Linked DNA regions of Schizosaccharomyces pombe. Changing the gene in region 2 together with the main gene of any one other region gives a genetic interaction. Each region holds a gene or a part of one and is shown on either strand. Other genes may lie near its edges.

Evidence for each region. Genes that interact genetically often act in the same process or in processes that back each other up.
Region 1: mutations in bcp1 (region 2) and pvg2 together harm fitness less than expected from each alone (positive genetic interaction), as found in Schizosaccharomyces pombe (one large-scale study listed by BioGRID).

What each region holds. Positions count from the first base shown.
Region 1 is NC_003424.3:4,017,875-4,021,636, forward strand, and holds the start of pvg2 (Golgi 4,6-pyruvylated galactose (PvGal) residue biosynthesis protein Pvg2), read left to right. Parts: upstream 1-2,000; 5' UTR 2,001-2,207; coding exon 2,208-3,377; 3' UTR 3,378-3,762. Other genes in the region: msm1 (methionine--tRNA (Met) ligase), read right to left, coding at 1-323. UniProt on the Schizosaccharomyces pombe protein: Involved in cell wall biogenesis. Has a role in the addition of Gal-beta1,3 moeities to galactomannans and their subsequent pyruvylation. Has a role in meiosis.
Region 2 is NC_003423.3:283,103-286,602, forward strand, and holds bcp1 (thioredoxin peroxidase), read right to left. Parts: upstream 1,715-3,500; 5' UTR 1,424-1,714; coding exon 836-1,423; 3' UTR 501-835; downstream 1-500. Other genes in the region: csc3 (WD repeat-containing protein), read left to right, coding at 1-446; SPOM_SPBC1773.03C (aminotransferase), read right to left, coding at 2,937-3,500. UniProt on the Schizosaccharomyces pombe protein: Thiol-specific peroxidase that catalyzes the reduction of hydrogen peroxide and organic hydroperoxides to water and alcohols, respectively.

The DNA of each region.
Region 1 (3,762 bases), on a different chromosome or scaffold from region 2:
TGCGTAAATTTTGTATTTGCTGCGACAGCGAGATCAGCAAAGCGTTTTGAGTTTCGATCACATAGCTGTAAAGGAGATACACCTTCGGTTTGGGCAACAGTCTGTACTTTTAGACCATGCTCATCAGTGCCAGTACTGGAAATGACGGAAACATCGGGTTTAAGATTTTGAAACCTGGCAATGGCATCCGTCAACACAAGACTGTACAAGTGACCGAGATGAGGTGCAGCATTGACATAGAAAATAGGTGTTGTAAGGAAATAAGGTTTTTTAGAAGATTCTGAAACTTGATGAATTAGCCTACAAATCCCTTTGCGCAGCATCTTGCTTCAGAAGACGTGTATGTATGTTTAGCGATCAACGTTAGTAATAATTTGTATATTTTAGGACTGCTGTCAGTAAACGTTAGTAATCGAAAACGAATATAATTCTTTAATTCATTGAGAATACAGCAGGGAAACCAGCAAGTGGAGAATACAGTGACACAGACGGTGCCTTGACGTACGTTAGTGGTGTATGTATATCGAAAACTAAGCTTGGTTTTGGATAATTGCTTTCTTCATGATTAATATGATTAATTTAATATCTTAGTAAAAATTCCTAATCAGTAGTTTAAGTCGTTTATTGGTTAAAAATAGAATGGTAGAATAAGACAAGTGATACACTAGGAGCTGATATTTAGTATACGCATAGACCCAAATTAATTCAAATGCTAGTATTTTTTGACTGTATAATAGTTTCTTCAAAAAGAGCTCTAGCAGCACTTCACAAAGGCCTAAAAACAGTAAAAAGATTGAAACTAGTGTATACAAAAATTAGGTGAGAAAATAAGATTGCATTCAGGAATTGATCGAGTCGAATTTTGTATTACCTTCAAGTATTTATCTTCCAGCAATGCGAAATCAAACTCATGTCAATGATTAAATAGAATAAAGAATCAATGCTGAATTTCTTTGAAATTGTTTTACGATATACGGTATAAAGAAGGATAAGTGTTTAAGATTCGAAATAGTGCTTTTTTAAAGAGATAATGATGTATTCCTTAAAATGATGCTGCACGGGATATTTCTTTGTTTAGCAATAAAGTAATTTGTGCCATTTACTGTTTCAATTTTTTCCAATATTTTTTTTTTTTTAAATTTGTTGTAATAATTTTTTAATTAAATTTTTTTTAAACAAGATATTCTAGCATATGCTGGCTAATTTTATTTTATTTACATATTTTTTAAATATTTAATAAAGTTTAACTATTGCTTCAATTTTTTCAAATACCTATTGAAAATGATTTTGAGCTGAATCACTGAGTGAATAAATCGATCCTTACAATAGCAGGCAATTGACAAGTTATAAGAAATTTAGTTGGAATCATTACATAGTTGCATTTTTAGAGTAACTGAATTTGAGTCATACACACATAAACTGAGTTCTTAAATGACTACGATAACCTCAGAATTACACACACGGTCATAGGGTAGGACATAGCTGGAATCTAAAAAATAAAAAAAAAAATACTGTATGTAATGCACAATATTATAGAATTTGTAGGAACTATAGAAAACAGATAATCCATAGATGCTTTGAGTAGGGATAAATCAACAAATAAAAGCATTTAAAACCAATTCGTATTTTCTTGATGCTTTGTTTACATACTTACTATGTACTGAGTATCTTATATCTACGCATCAGATAATCTACAGTAGTGCAAAGAGAATGCGTTATAAAATCTGAAGTTTCAAAGTTCATACTTGGTATATTTTGGGATGTCTACACTATAAAAGAGAATCTAAACCTCGATTAAAAAGATGGTCGTTCATAAGAAAATAAATGGGTCGGTAAAAGTTTCAATTTGTAATCATTGATTGCAAGCCCTGCTCATTTCCTAGGAAAACCATGACATAGTGATTTGCAAATATAAGTTTGCAAAATAGTATAATGAAACGCAGCGTAGTTGTAATCACAAAGACGCGGTTTTTGTGACATTTTGAACACACTACTCTAGTACGAACCATACTGACAAAGAAGTGTGCGGTTTGGTTTCACAATCCTTTATCTACTCATCTGTAATTCCTAACTCAGGCGCTTATTAAATTATTTAAAATCTGTGGAAATAATTGCGCCTTAAATGCATTAAAGCTCATTTGCACTTATAATATACTGTATAAATTAAATTGAATTCGACGTGAAATAAGCAGAAAAAAGGAGGAAAAATGACTAAACTCTGGGTAAATTTTTTCAGCCAGAAATTATTAAGGCTTTTAATCCCATCAATAATAGTGGTATTTGCTTTCGCTGCTCTATTTGCAATATACAGTCCCATTCAACTTGGAGGCATCAATTTCTATAAAAGAACCAACTTATTTACCGTTGAAGAATTGGGCGAAAAAGAATTGGAACTATCTAAGACCGTTACTATCGATATATACAGAAAAGCAATGTGCATGGATGATTTGGAGCAATCGCGCAAATGTACAACGTTCGGTTTGGATCCACCGATTTCTGCTCACTTATTTTACACATATAACCGTGATACGGGTATGAATAGAGTTGCGAGACAATGGAATCGAAGAATTCCAAGGGTATTTCATACCATTAAGGGATCTAATTTCATTGAATTGTCTCAATTCACGGCATTTGAAGTCGAACTTCGCGTAAGCCACCCAAATTGGGCTTTTGTTAGTTGGTCACATGATGATTTAAACGAATTAGTTGACAAATCATATCATAATCTTCATAATGCCTGGTCTCAGTTATCGCGTGAAGCTAAAGATCAGTGGGGATTTTTATTGGGATTGTATGAGTATGGCGGTGTTTGGATGTCTCGTTCTTTACAGCTTAAAAAAAATATTGATAAATTTGTTTATGCGGCGGAGTTATCCGTAAAACAATTTACAGAAAATATCACATCTTCGACTGTTGAGGAGTTCCAACCGATTTTTATGGCCCCAAAGTCCCTACAGTATGACTTTATGATTGCTACTCCTAAGCATCCGTTTGTTCTCTCTCTCATTAACGAACTTTGCAAGTCGGAAGTTTTATTAAAAATCCTTTCTAAAAGGCCCTATCATGGTCTTGATGCAGCTGAAGCGTTGTTTGCAGAAAACCGAGAGTCTATTACAATTCGTGAGCAAGAATTCTTTGTCAACACTTATATCGATGACGGGAAAGTTTTTGTGAAGAATAACCCTCACATCATTTTTATCCCAACAGAAGCCTTTGCTTCAACTTGGGACTTCCTTCCTAGTGAAGAATCTTCTGAAATGTGTTTCGCCGACTCTCCCCTGTTTGACCCTGACTATTGCATTAGCCACAGTTCAAAACCGGATGGGAACGAACTTGCCATATACTGGTCTAATTCATTCGACTTGATAACTGCTTGATGATATTATGATGTTTCATCTTTTTATCTTTTCACAAATTTAATTTCATTCAGCAAACAATAAACCTGACTTGATCCTTTAACTTTTTTTTTCTCTCTAAGGTATCACCTACAGTTATGTGCGTTTCTTCCTAATCATAGTTTTTATTTAATACTATTGCTAAGCATCCGTTTTATAATCAAATATTTTCTGTCGTGGAACTGTCCTGCAGCTTGTTTTTCTAATGTGCCAACTATGTCTTTACATTTAATGTTCTATGGTTCTATTGTCTTTCTTTCTTTTTTTTAGTTTTTTATTTTATCAGATCTAGGAAAAGCTTGTTTCTTAGTTTTTTAAATTCGATCCTTCATTTATTGTTCAACTGTAAAGTTTGTGATACTTTTAT
Region 2 (3,500 bases):
AAATTCTTGTAAGCCAAATGCGCATTGCTGGAAATTCTGCTATTGGTAATCCGGCTGTTAAAGACAGGATCAACAAGATCGTATGGAAAAATGGTAACCCTGATCGCTTATATTCTCTGCATGAAAATGGCATGGTGCGAGTGTTCGATGTAAAGAGTGAGGAATTGCTTGCAGAGAAATCGATTAGCAAAGTCTCTTTGACTGGTATTGCGTTTGCTGTAAATCGTCCGGAATTCGCGATTAGTGCATCTGATGGAAGAGTCTTTTTCTTGAGGCAGGACGATAAACTTTCAACTCTCGAAAGCTTACCTAGCAGAGAAGCTCAAGAGGAAATTACTGATTTATCAGATATTCTTTGGATCAACTCACCCGTCGATAAGTTGGAGCATTTGATTGTGGGCTGTAAAGAGCGAATTTCTGTTTACGACCGCAAATATTTACCATAAAGCACTAACAAAGATAAACGAATACAGGAAGATTTCCCTCTTTTTATGAAACTTCCAACTTTTCTAATCAAAATGAGTTATTTGTTAAAAAATAATGATTTACGATTTCTAACCGTAATGAACCAAAAATCTACACCGTTGCTGGAGCTATATTTGTATTAGATATACGGCAACTATTTAATCTAATCTCAACGTTACTAAAATAAGAACAACACTAACTTGGACCATCAACTTGTATAAAATTGTGTAGTGATCATATTTGAATGTATCTTCAGGGTTGAAGCACATTGTAGCAAGACATAAAAAAGTGTAATTTCATCATGAATCATATAGCAATAGGCATGTAGACTATCCTCCAAATTTGACAATGAGCGTAGACAATTTGTCAACTAAGGTTCAGAATCAGTGATTACAGCAAAGGCTTTGTCAACACTGACAAGAGGTGATATGTCAATTTCCTTCACTATGCATTTGCCAGTACCTTTCTCAAAGATCCAATGGCTTCTAAACAGCTTTCCACCACCAGGCTTCTCAGCGCCTAACTTTTTAATTAGCTCACCTTTAGGATCCGAAAGCAAATGATAAGGAAAGTTTTGCTTATCCTTGAAAGCTTTTTGAGCTTTGCTAGTATCGAAAGACAACCCTAAAACTTCATAATCAGAGGCCTGTATCTTAGGATAGTTATCACGAAAACCACAACCTTGTTTCGTGCAGCCAGGAGTACTAGCTTTTGGGTAGGCAAAAATTACAAGCCCTTTATTTGCAGTAATATCGCGAAGTCGAATGGAAGTTCCATCTTCGTCAGGCAAAGTGATATCGGGAATTACGTCTCCCACTTGAATAGTTGAATCAACTGATTCATCTTTTGCAGGCTTTTTCAGCATTACTGGAGCAGCTTCAGGAATAATCGTTCCTTTGCTATCCAAGACGTTTGCAATCTTGGCTGCCAATCTGCTAGATCTTCTGGGGGCGTCCATTGACAGGCTTAAAGTGTGCAAGAAAAATGCTAGAGGGGAAGGAGAAAGGTTGATGCAGAGCTGCAGTATATAAATTTATATTCTAAACAACACCTGTAAAACCAAAAACGTTGGTGTCAATGCTGATCAGTATTAAATCGCTTTAACTTGTAAAGGCTAGATAAAATGATCAAAGTAGTGAAACTCTGTTCAGGATGAAGTACTCTGAACTTTTTACTACTCAACTTTCAGAATTTCGGTACCAAAATAAAAACAATTTTACAATAACACCTGAGATTTTCTTTCTGGTGTAGGAAGAAAGTACAGGTAGTGAAGAATCACGACATAAATATTACCAATTTGTTAGCTTCGCTTTGATATTACTTTACAACATTACCAATGTGATCCCGTAAAATCGTATTTAGCGTATTTAGCTGACCTTTCAAACGATCGATAGGGAACCGATCTTCCCCTGCTTATACAATCGGAATAGCTTTGCATCCTACTATGACTAAAGAATGTTTTCTTTCATAAAATTTCTAGTCAAATCATTATTAACATGGTGTCGTTTTTACTAGTATGGCTTTAAAAAATGGTCTTTCGTAAACTGTAACAGCATTTTCTCTGATTGTCCGTCTCGACAGCGTTACAGAAATATAAATAAAATAACAATTAATTTATTAACAAATTTCAAATATCTTTTGTTCGTCAATTGTAGAACGGATCCATCAGCTAGGAACTGATTTGCATGCAATGTCAATGTAGCAATCGTAGTAAAGATTCTAAGGAAGTAAGCCAAGACTATAAAACATGATGTTAGCAAGCGAGGCTATCGTCTTTATTAAACTAACATTGCATTTTTTTTATAAAAAGGCTAAAAACATTGCATCGACCGGGAGTCGAACCCGGAGCTAATGCTTGGAAGGCATTGATGTTACCGCTACACCATCGATGCTTGGATGAAGAGGTAAAATAATAGACATATATTACTTTAAAATTAAACTTGTATCGAAGTATTAGCAACTGGTTCTACATTATGAAAATAACCCAAAAACAATCCAAACTGTTTGGCTAATAATGTGTCTATTTATTATACATTAAATAGTTGAAATTATGGTATACTGCCTACTATGCTTGTAATATACTATAAATGTGTAATGTATAATAAAATGGGCATGTGGTGTAGATGGTTATCACGCTTCCTTAGCATGGAAGAGGTCCCAGATTCGAGTTCTGGCTTGTCCAAGTTTTTTTTTGTTTTTTACGTTTGTTGATTCAAACTATATAGAAACGCGTTTACGCAGAGAACATGTTTTCAAATGATTGCGAGCCATCGTCTACCCTATAGCCGTATGGAATTATCAATTTTATTACAACGAAGGGTCGTAGCGGAGAAAGTATATTAATGCATTGTAAATTCATTTCATATAAAATTAATTATTATACCATGACCAAAGGTCTTCTAACATAAGTATATCCAAATTATCTGAAACATTATAACTGATAAAGAGGAATTTCGTTAACTTGCGTACATTCAAGGAAGGGCCGCAACTGTAGATGTAATGGTTTTGCTAAGAGCCTCCACTAGTTCATCTATTTGCTCGCGAGTGATAATATACGGAGGAGCCAGCAATACGTGGTCTCCTCTGGTGCCATCAATTGTACCCATGCCTGGATAAACGAAAACACCATGCTCGCAACCTATTTTGTTGGCGAGAGAACCAACTTTGTATTCAGGAGGGAAACATTCCTTGGTAGCTTTGTCTTTAACGATCTCGAGTCCCCAAAACAAACCGCGGCCTCGAATATTTCCCACGTTGGGATGAGAGTCAAAAGTCTCATGTAATTTTTCCGAAAGGTATTTACCCATTTCTGCTGCCCTTTCAACAAGATGATCTCGTCTTAAAATAGTTTGCACCGCCAGGGCAGCAGAACAAGCAATTGGGTGGGCTTGATATGTAAAAAAACCAGCCATGGCAGCATCTTTTTGCTCAAACACGTTCATAATACGATGACCAACAAGCGCTCCAGAAATGGGTTGATAACCACCTCCTAAACATTTGGCAATAGATTGAATGTCAGGTGTCACACCCTCTTG